Daphnia pulex: one gene and its partners. The protein of the gene in region 2 interacts with the protein of the main gene of each other region in a biochemical or structural test. Links are inferred from orthologs where the notes say so. Each region holds a gene or a part of one and is shown on either strand. Other genes may lie near its edges. The genes, in order: epidermal growth factor receptor substrate 15-like 1, polyubiquitin and ubiquitin carboxyl-terminal hydrolase 48-like.

Region 1 (3,829 bases), on a different chromosome or scaffold from region 2:
TAGAACACTTGATTTTGCAAGGCAATTTCTTCTGTTACTTGGTTCACTTACTGCTTGTACCCGATTATCTAATTTTTCAAACATTTCCCTAATCGAATTTCACTCATGACTAAGTAACTATTGACCTGCCTTTTAGGTTCGTACATTCCGGACCCAAGCAGAGGAGCAAGAGAACACGCTTCGAACACAGGAGGCAGAAGTTGCGGCTAAGAAACAGGAACTTAATAATTTACGCAGTGAAGAACTGCGCATGGAGCAACAGATGCAAGCGGCCAGCCTCCAACTCGACAAGCTCCAGAATACACTGCAAGATACTCACTTGCAAATTAGTCAAATTAAAGGTTTACTTGGCGGAAATCTTTTAATACTTTGTCCAGTAAAGTATAAAATTTTTGGTTTTGGTTTTTCAGCTCGCATGACGGTGTTGCAGGAACATCAACATCAGATTGACGAGGCCTTGGTGGCCTATGACGAAGCCTTAGAAACGGGAGATCCCTCTCGATTGGGCGATAACGTTCTTCGCCCTATTGCCTCAGTAGCTTCCGATTCCGATATCTTACTCTCGCCAAACTCTGACCGCAACAAAGTGAACGGGGGAACGTCGCATTTTAACGTAATTGAACTTTGGTTCAGTTTTGTCCAGTAAAGATCATAATATCTTTTTTTTTTTTATTCGAAATTTTTATAGGATGGAGCGTTCGGTAGTGATCCATTTTCTAGTCTGAATGGTCAGAATCGTGGGTTTTCTGACTCATCTAATGGGGACCCTTTCAAGGAATCGGACTTTTTCAAAAAGGCGGCGCAGCCAACTTCGTCTGTTGATCCTTTTGGCGCCAAAGACCCATTCGCCTCAGCCTTTGGAGCTCCTGCAAAACCAACGGTACGTGTTTCTATGAATCGTTAGAAAGTATTTGAATCCTGACTAGTTTGTAAAACGCGTAATGCATTTTGAATTTTTCAGAATGATCCATTCGCTTCCGCGTTTGGTCAAGCAAAAAGCGAACCATTTGACGCCTTCGGTCGTAGCAAATCGGTGAGTAATTAGAATCAGACTAATTGCGGCGGAACTCGAGCGCTAATTGATTATCAATTTTTGGTCATTGCAGCCAAACGTGGGTGCTGATCCGTTCGGTAGCGACCCATTTAACGCACCTAATTCTCCCTTACCTGCCGGTCGAGTGGAAAGCCCGACTCCGGCCTTGCCTCCCAAGAAGTCGAAACAACCACCTCCACGTCCAGCTCCACCGAAAGCTGTTTCTAGTGGTGTGAAAGGTCCCCAGCGCCCGGCTCCTCCCATCGGCGCCACAAAATCACCTGATCCTTTTGCACCATTGAGCGATCCGTTTACTTCGGCTGGTGCGTCTAAGGATCCTTTTGGTGGATCGGGTTTTGCTGATTTTGCAAGTTTTGAATCTAAGGTACGTCTCCGATTGATTTGATGTTTTTTTTTTTGTTTCGCAATTTTCTATGTGTAGTTTATTTTATTGGTAATCCAGAGAGCATGATTAACTTGTACTACGGTTGATTTTTCTTCGTTTCAACTGTGATTCATTTATACCATTCCTTCTTTATATATAAAGCTAAACTCCATTATTTTTATTTTACGTGACATGTGTACGTGTTTTCTCTTGTTCTAGAACAATCTTTTTTTAGTTAGGCGATTGGCAGCCTGCTGGGTCGTGATTTATTTTATTTCGTCTTCGTTTAGATTTGACTCGGTTCATTTGGGTTCTCGTTTCCGTTTCCCGTGTTCGATAAACATGTAAAAAAAAATCACAATTTGGAATTTGATTTCAGAATGATTCCAGTCCATCGGATCCGTAAAGTCAACTAAACTTTCTTGCCTTCTTCTTTCTTTTTCTGTTTTTTTTACGCAGCCATGAGTCAACTCTAAGGCATTTTCCACTGGTCTGAAATCTGACCTTTCGAGCGTTTAGAATTAATATTTTTACTGTCTTCTATACATCTACCTGATATTATTTTAGTTTAGTTTTGTATTTCGAAATTTTTCTGTTGTAATTTATTTTAAGTTTTTTTTTTCTGTTTTCCCTGCTTCCCTTCCCTGCTTTGGTTTGTGTTTAATTGCCTTAGTTTTCTGGCTCTTCAACTGGCGAGAGCTTTGATGCATGGGGAAGCACCAGCACTAGCAGCACAAAACCCACCAGCGAGTCACAACAGCACCGGTATGCCGAGCTAGAATTCACTGAAGATCCCTTCAAAGATGTCGGATTTGGCGATCCGTTTGCCTCAAACACAGACGATCCCTTCGCCGTTCCCACCATCACCAATAACGGAATAAAGATCAAGAAGGATCCGGACAGTTTTGATCCGTTTTCCGCAGACAAGGATCCGTTTGCCTCTTCCACATCTCCTTCTAAATCCACGATAGAATTCGACAGTCCGTTCGGTAGTTCGGCATGGAACGGGCGGCCAGATCCGTTCGCTGCTGCCACAGCTGCTGACAACAATAACAAGTCTCCCTCTAGTTGGGGCAACGATTTCAAGTTTTCCTCTCCCACCTCTAGTGGTCCCACTAAAAGTCCAACATCGATTGGCTCGAGCTCGTTAAAGAGCCGATCGTCTTCCTCATCGTCACCGATGAAAAGTAGCAAAGTGTCTGCATCTGAACCATTGCCCAAGTTGAGCGAAGACGCCCAAATCGCTTGGGTGGCTGCTGAGAGTGTCCGATCGGAGCAGGAAAGGCGAAGGAAAGCGGAGATGCAGGAAATAGCCGATCTGGAAATGGCGATCGCTCTCAGCAAATCTGAAATGAACAGTCGGTCACCACCGTCTTCAGACAGATTAATTTGACCCGTTTGAAAGCTGGCCACATCTCTTTCTTCTTCCTTTCTATTCCACCACACCCTGTTTTTCCTTCTTTATATGTAATCTACGTGACCTTCACAGTTTTTTCACGCTCCTGTTTACGGTACTTCCCTTGTTTTCAAAGGCTAAATATTCAAATGAGCTTTCCTTTGGCCTCTGATGTAACAAAATTCAAAAATTACCAAAAGAATCCAGCAATACTTTGACCGCAAAAGGTAATGCATTGACCTATGTACGAGAGTGAATGGTTAGCCGAAAAAATTTATTTCCTTTGGTGTTCAATCTCCTTTATTCCATCACCCCCTTATTGGTCATATCCCCAAACTATTTATAACGGCAACTGGAGGGCAAGACTGCTGTGTACATTTTACTCGCACTTTTGTATCCTTGCATGTTGCCTTTCTTAGACTTACTTCCCACAATAGTAATAAGGAAAAAAAAAGTGTCGCTCCAATCGCTGACGAATGGGAGAAAGGCGAGAAAGTAGTAGTCGGTGTGCAAAGTGTTGGTAGTTGTGACAACAGGAGTGTGCCATAGTTCGCCCGTCAGTCCCTCGGAAAAAAATTTTTCTTCTTTTGTTCTTACATCTTATCTCTTAATAGTACAATATGGTCCCATCCACCATCACCAAACAGATCTGTCTGAAGAATGAAGAAATAAAAAAGTGTTATTTCGATGCCGTAGTTGTTTTGCTCTTGGAACGTTATTTTTGCCGTAGCCTGATCTTTTTCTTTATTTCAACCTCTCCACTGCTACCCATTTCTCCCCGTTTTCTTTTTTTTTTCTTTTCTGTAATTTGATTGTTTCGGTATGATGCCCAGTGGCCACACGAGAGTTACTTTTTCCCACAAGTCAATTTTTTAAAAATGAAAGTAGCTCTAAGAGATGTACCAGTATGTTTGTTAGTTATCTCTTTTTCTTCTTTTTTTTTTTGTGAATGTCCTTGCGTGAACACGATTGTTAATTTGCCTCAAGAGTCCGTGTTTTCTCTCTCTCCCCCCCC
Region 2 (3,600 bases):
GTCCAGAAACTGGAACAGAAAATGAAACGAATGCAGAGAGATTTGCACTACGACCTGATTGCCTTCACGCAAACTCAAATTTTGTACACCATTAAACGACTTTTAGCAGCTGATTTGAAGGTTATTTACCGGGGCCATGCTCTAGAATCTGAAACTCCAAATGAAGAAATGCCAAATGAGATTAACCCGTTCTGGCCAGAATTCCAAGCAGTCGCCCATCCAAGGAAAGGTGGGCTGCAAATGGCCGACTTTCTTGTTTACGGATGGTATGAAATTTTATCATTGTAAATAACAACTCAAAAATTATTATAAGAAAATTTCCGATTTTCTAGTTTGGAAGAACCCGATTTCACCCAAGATTATCTCAGCACACCATGGGCTTGTCCTATATGCGAACTCAATTTCTACCTGACGGGTCTAGGGCGATTGAGGCACCAGGTCCAGTGCCAGAAGACAAAAGAGTTGATGGAAGGAGGTATGAAATGTTTTTTAACAATCTGTTTGCTGCCCTCTATCCAGTTTACAATTTTCCGTTTTGTTGGGTTATTATTTAGGTCAGGGTGAACCAGCAGAAGCTTCCGAGTCGAAAACGGGTTATTTCTGTCCTGATTGTCGCACCACTGTGGAGCTGACCGGCATTGATTTACTGCGTCATCAAAGGAAGCACCAACAGGAAAAGTCCAACAAACCTGAGGCAGATTAGTCCTATACACGCAGAAAGAAGCCTTGCCCAAAGTCCTTCAAATTAAACACGTGGGACACGTCGACACCAGCACTCATTTCCGCTGCGCATTTTTGCGAACATCATCACATTATAATCCCCTTAAACTCAAGGTTGAATAAAGACCTATGTAAAACGACGCTGAATTGGAATTTATTTGCAATGAATTATAGTTTTATTCAGAGTCATGGAAGCGTAAATACATAACGGTTTTTATCTTGTTCGGTCTAATTAAGAAATTTCTCCTTATTAGTTGTTTTTTTCTTCGTCACTTTCTATTTGTATACAAGTTTTGCCAGCAACCTCATACGTGTTTCTACTTTCAAAATTCTGCCACGTGTAAATATTATCTCGTAAAGGTTCGCAACCTACTTGAAATGAAAATATTGGACCCAAAAAGTTTGGTGGAAAAGAAATAGAAAGTATGAGAAATAAAGGAATAAAGGATATCCGCGATTATTTCAAGGCTGAGGCAAATCCGTACAAAATTAACGTCACTTAGATAAAAATGTGGAAACTTCCAGAATTAGCTCAAATTTCATAATCACGGAATATTCTACGTCACATATTGTTTCTCTGTCGTTGTAGTCACGTTTGAGAAGGTGACGTTTCATCGTTACGTTATCTAACGACAAACGAAAATACGAAATAATCCTTCTAGAAAAAGCTAGGGAAAGCCGCAGGGGACTTGGTACGAACCTCCCCAGGCGCTTCTGTCGCGTCTATATAAGTCGACGTCAGCCATTTTAAAAATCAATTCGCGTCCAGCACCCAACTCGAGCAGAACGTCTTAGCAGTTGCTTCGTCGAACACATATTTTAATTCAACTTTATCATCTGATTGATCAAATTTAGTAAGTTAAACCTTTGATTTCTTTGTCCTGAATAGATATCCATTGTTCTTGTGTGTAACTAGTTAAATTAACTAAGATTTTTTGGGGGAAACGAAAAATTTACGCCGTGGCAAGTTGTCCCTTTGTTCGATTGTGTCCGCCATTTTCTTTCCTCGTTTCATCTCTTTTCTCTTAGTAACAACTGGTTGGAAAATATTTCATGGTGTAAGATGAGACAGTTATTGAAATTTACTAGAAACATTTTGTATTACATTAGTTTTGATTGCAACTTCTTTAAAAATAATTGGCTAGTAATAAAATTTATGCATGGGCGTAACTTTCCTTTGTTCGACGTGACGTAATGATGACGATTGGTTATGATGAAACTTCTGATAAACTGGTTTTGTATATGATACTAAAGTAAGTTTAATTTTCGTTTCTTCAGAAAAAGATGCAGATCTTTGTCAAGACATTGACTGGCAAGACCATCACCCTTGAGGTTGAGCCTTCTGATACTATCGAGAATGTTAAGGCCAAGATTCAAGATAAGGAGGGCATTCCACCAGATCAGCAGCGTTTGATCTTTGCTGGCAAGCAGCTGGAAGATGGTCGTACCCTGTCTGATTATAACATCCAGAAGGAATCTACCCTGCACTTGGTCCTCCGTCTGAGAGGAGGAATGCAAATCTTTGTCAAAACACTAACTGGAAAGACCATTACTCTGGAAGTTGAACCTTCTGATACCATCGAGAATGTCAAAGCAAAGATCCAGGATAAAGAAGGTAACTATCAAACCTTTGCCTACTGTTACTAAATTAACCTGATGAGTATTAGGATTACAATGACATTTAGAGTGTCTAAATTTCTTCATGATTACAATTATATCGCAATAACCTGAAGTATTCAATACATTTTAATTTCCATAGTTGTCTGATTGAAATTACAAAATGTTTCTTTGTTCAGGCATCCCACCCGATCAGCAACGTCTCATCTTCGCCGGCAAACAATTGGAGGATGGTCGTACTCTGTCCGACTACAACATTCAGAAGGAGTCAACATTACATTTGGTGTTACGTTTACGCGGAGGCATGCAGATTTTCGTTAAAACTCTTACTGGAAAGACCATCACTCTCGAAGTTGAACCTTCTGACACTATCGAGAACGTTAAAGCCAAGATTCAAGACAAAGAAGGTAATGGAAAAAAATAAGAAGAGAAATTTATTGTAGTTGCTGATGACACTCTTAGGACACCTAAATATGGACCCTGATTACTAAATAATCTGAAATTTAAATGTTAAATGATTTTGGTAGCATTAATCTACTAGATAATATTAACGATTTGAATTGTCTACAGGTATTCCCCCCGATCAGCAACGTCTAATTTTCGCTGGAAAGCAGCTCGAAGATGGCCGTACTTTGTCTGATTACAACATCCAAAAGGAGTCGACTCTTCACTTGGTTCTTCGTCTCCGTGGTGGTATGCAGATTTTCGTCAAGACTTTGACTGGCAAGACCATCACTCTTGAAGTTGAGCCTTCTGACACAATTGAAAATGTCAAGGCTAAAATTCAAGACAAAGAAGGTACGTTAGTTTTTGAAAGTTCGGTTGTTCTGCAATGATGATAATTTTATATACGCTAATATCAACAACATGATTACAATTAAATCTGATGTGGTATCGTGGTAAATGGCAGAATGTTTAGGTAGAAATTTCAATGTTATTGCTTTTTCTGTAGGTATTCCCCCAGACCAGCAACGTCTGATCTTCGCTGGTAAGCAGTTGGAAGATGGACGTACCTTGTCAGATTACAACATCCAGAAGGAGTCTACCCTTCACTTGGTCTTGCGTTTGAGAGGAGGTATGCAGATTTTCGTGAAGACTCTTACAGGAAAGACCATCACCCTTGAAGTGGAGCCATCGGATACAATTGAGAACGTTAAGGCCAAAATTCAAGACAAAGAAGGTAATAATTTGGGGCAGTCTTTATTTTTTATTCCATCGATTATGATGACACTTTATTAGCTCTTTAATATGTACCCTGATTAC
Region 3 (3,729 bases), on a different chromosome or scaffold from region 2:
GCCGTGTGCGAGAGCTGCCTGGAGAAGCGGTTGGAGGAGGAGCGCCGGTCGCAGCTGGTCTACAGCCGGGCAGCCATCTACGTCCGCCAAGTTGACAAAATCGGAGCCCTAACTGACAACCTCACCGACGCGCCATCGGCCTCGACCTTTTCGTCTTCCGTCGCCGAAGATCCCGACTTCCAGGTAACCCCGTTTTCTCCCACTCTTGCGTAACACTCGGTCCATCCATTTCCTAGTCGGAGGAATGTCATCGTTTACCCTATTTCCGCACCCCTTTTCAATCATGAATTGTCTGGAGGGGGTGGGGATCTAGCGGGATGATGGGCCGCCTGGATGGGAAACATTCGGCAGGAAGAGAATGGAGGTAATGGACTGGCCGGCGCTCTTGGAGGTCGTCGTAATCTTGTCCTAATCCTGCCGAATGGAATGTAAATCAGTCGCCGTGGAATGTCTCAGAGGAATTCGTCCTTAATGTTTCTGTTTGGGACCTCATCTTATCCACTTTTTCTGGTTCACGTTGCAGATGGGATCGGAGACGAAGAGACCACGACTAGACAGCACGGCCCAGGCCTTGGCCGTTTCTTGCCCAGTGCCGGCCCTGTCACCGGCCACGGTGGGCCAGCAGCAGCAGGCCAGGAGGAGCTCCCGCCAAAGACGAGGCCGCGGAGAGAAGGAGATCACCGTCTCGTCCGATCAGACCCTACTCGATCTCAAGCGTGACGTACGTCTCTGTGTGTGTGTGTGTCATCCGTCCGCGTTTATTTTCGTGACACTCTCCTCTCTCGGGCTGACTCATTTCTTCTTCTTCTTCTTCTTCTTCTTTCAGATTATGAAAAAGTTTCAAGTGGCGCCGTTCGACCAGCATTTGACGTGCGAAGGACGTGATTTGAACGACAACCAAGCGACGCTGGCCTCTTTGCGCATCTTCCCCGGCACCGTCATCATCCTTCAGGTAAGTCAAACAAGCTCCAGCCGTTTCTTCTTTTCCTTTGATTTGATCGAGATGGATCGACTGTCTGTGTGCCTTTTTCCTCCTTTTATTTCTTTTCTTTTTTTTCGTGAATTGTGTGTGACTCAACCAGTTGAGCACAATTGGTAAGGTCCAGAGTCAAGTCGGGCACAAGTGGTTGTCTAGCACGTTCGACAAAAACACGTTCTTTAGGGAAGGAAAAGAAAGAAGGAGGAAAGAAAAAACAGAAAAACAAAAATAACAATACACATTCTGTATTTCTCCCGTGAAAAAGAATCGAAAAAAAAGAGCGTTACACCGAGTTGGAAGGAGTCGGGAACACGAGGACATGATAGGGGTGTAACGCAACACAAAAAGAAAAGAAACAAAAAAGTTTCCCGCTGGTTGACGTTTGTTTGTTTGTTTGTTTGTTGGGTTTTTTTTTCTTTTCTTTTCGACCGGAGACAAACACACACAAAAGAAGTGGATGGAAAATAATCGCGGCCGAGAGAGGAAAGAAGAAATTGAAATCAACACGACCGTGTAGTAGTAGTGAGTAGTAGCACACACAAGTCAGGGGAGAAAACGAGGCCCTTTTTAGCCGTTTGGATTTAGTGTGTACGCTAATTCGAGCCGGGGAAACGGAAAGAACGTCCGACGAGAAGAGGGAAACGGTTGATTCGACTCGCGACATGATGGATGGATGCGGAGATAGTAGGTCACGTCGGCCAGAAAATGAGAAGGCGACACACACACACAAGGCGGCAACCCCCGCCGATGATGGGCGTCGACTCGGCTATCTCTCCTTCTTTCTTTTTTGACTTGAAATGGCTCAAGAATTCAGCCGCTCCCGCACGCAAGACATAGACGGGATCTGGAAAAAAAAAGAGACTTGGTGGCGGGATTCGTTAAGCGCGTCATTCGAAATCGTTGACGCAGCGGGAGAAGCGGGAGAAGGAGATAGGATCATTGAACTCGACCCCCCCATAGTAGTAGTAGTAGCTTATAGCAGTAGTAGCACACACGTAATTCAATTCTAATTGAATTTCTCGGGGCTTTTCTCCCCAAAAACTTTCTTTGTTGACGCTCGTTTGTGTCCCTACGTGTCCTTGAAGCTTCAACCCGAGAGAGTTGACGTTCTTCACGACACGGACAATTCAGAATGGTCCCGATTACTACCACTACTAACTTTGTTTATTTGACGGAAAGAAAATTTTTATGATTTTTCAATTTTGCTCGTTTTGATTCCTCGGTGCGTTTGTTGTAGCGTGTGTGGCGTCTCTAATGTCTCATTAATAACGAGGAATTGGATTGAGCTGGCCTTACATTGCCAGAGAGCGGCTCCTTGTATAGTCAAAAAAGAAAGAGTGAGTTTGTTTTGTGGTGCGCGGTGTAGTTGCGGTCATCGTCCATGCGTTCCACGTCTGGTTAGTCGGCGGGCAAGCGCCAGACTTTCATTTTCGTTTTTTTCTTTCTTTATCGTTTCCATGTACATTTATTTCTGATTCGTTTTTTTTTCTTCTTCTCATTTCGGCACGATTGATTGTCGTCGGTAACATGTGTAACATGGGCTACGACTTCCTTATATAGAGCCCGACAGGCAGAGACGGATGGAGTGTACCGGCCAGTTATTTTTTTCTTGTCCTTTTTTTATTTATTTTTGCTTTTTTTTTAGATTAGTTGGCTCTCAATCAAATGACACACAATGTTCTTGATTCCATCACGTTTCGCTTTGTTTGATCTCATTTCTTTTTTGGGGGTTTCAGGCGGATGAGCCGTCGGAAGATCCGTCCCTTATGGAAGACTATGCACGGACTGCCATTCCCGAAGAAGGATTCAAAGGTAATTCACCATTCATTTGTCTTTCGCATCGATTATTTGTGTTGACGATATTCGTTTCCACGCGCTCGCAGGAACCGAACTCCTCCGTAGCTGAATCGCATCCGGCGTCCAACCGTCAAGTGCCTAAAAAAATAAATAAACAAACACACACACAAAAATTTCAGCTGCTGCGACGTTTGTCTCTCTCTCTCATAACGGACGTCAGCATATTTTCTTTCTACTCTCTACTCTTGTTTGTTAAATTGTTATTATTAAACTGGCGCGTCAACTTTTTTTTTTGCAAAAGAACAAAAAAGTAAAAAAATTCAAATTAATAACTTACTGGGTAAAATTTAATTTGTTTCGTTTGATTGTAACTCTGTGCTCAAAGAAATAAAACTTGCAAAATTTAAAGAAAGAGAGACAGGTTATATCAGCTACACCCCCCGTACATTTTGATCGCCCCGCTGTCCCAATTTGTTCCTAATGATAAATCTTCCCTTTTTGTCCTCCGTATAAATGTCAACTGATTTATTTATATTTTATTACGTCACCTCTTCTATTTTTTTCTTTCGTTATGGCGCGTATTCTTCACACTCTACCAACAACTTTTTTTTCTTATCTAATTGGATCTCAGAAATTAACAAACAACAACAAAAAATGGGGTGTGTGTGTGTGGAGATCCTGGTAGAACACAAACAAAACAAAAAAAAATTACATACAAACTTGAACACACAACATTCTACTACAGTAATAGTAATACACAAAGAAATTCGAATGTAATTACTGTCTGAAAATTTGCCTAATTGTGTCGATTGTAATCTTTCTCGGAAGTTTACATTTTTTTCTTGTTATTTGCTACGATTATGAAAAAGGCTAAACGTTGCACGTAATAATAACGAAGGGGAGAGAGAAGACAATTATGCATATGGTAGGGGGGGGGAGCAGCTCACCTCTTG

The links.
Region 1: the proteins of polyubiquitin (region 2) and epidermal growth factor receptor substrate 15-like 1 form a complex in vitro, tested with the Homo sapiens proteins (2 studies listed by BioGRID). The link is inferred for Daphnia pulex from reciprocal best matches to the Homo sapiens genes UBC and EPS15L1.
Region 3: the proteins of polyubiquitin (region 2) and ubiquitin carboxyl-terminal hydrolase 48-like form a complex in vitro, tested with the Homo sapiens proteins (3 studies listed by BioGRID, with this or other methods). The link is inferred for Daphnia pulex from reciprocal best matches to the Homo sapiens genes UBC and USP48.

Annotation. Positions count from the first base shown.
Region 1 is NC_060021.1:11,549,362-11,553,190, reverse strand, and holds part of epidermal growth factor receptor substrate 15-like 1, read left to right. Parts: intron 1-136; coding exon 137-341; intron 342-410; coding exon 411-613; intron 614-688; coding exon 689-880; intron 881-961; coding exon 962-1,033; intron 1,034-1,106; coding exon 1,107-1,418; intron 1,419-1,797; coding exon of another isoform or gene 1,798-1,824; exon of another isoform or gene 1,825-1,877; coding exon of another isoform or gene 1,878-1,883; exon of another isoform or gene 1,884-2,091; coding exon 2,092-2,811; 3' UTR 2,812-3,829.
Region 2 is NC_060024.1:13,920,105-13,923,704, forward strand, and holds the start of polyubiquitin, read left to right. Parts: upstream 1-1,266; 5' UTR 1,267-1,574; intron 1,575-1,998; 5' UTR 1,999-2,004; coding exon 2,005-2,335; intron 2,336-2,516; coding exon 2,517-2,744; intron 2,745-2,907; coding exon 2,908-3,135; intron 3,136-3,289; coding exon 3,290-3,517; intron 3,518-3,600.
Region 3 is NC_060018.1:12,831,210-12,834,938, reverse strand, and holds the end of ubiquitin carboxyl-terminal hydrolase 48-like, read left to right. Parts: intron 1-1; coding exon 2-183; intron 184-523; coding exon 524-721; intron 722-826; coding exon 827-952; intron 953-2,715; coding exon 2,716-2,791; intron 2,792-2,862; coding exon 2,863-2,885; 3' UTR 2,886-3,553; downstream 3,554-3,729.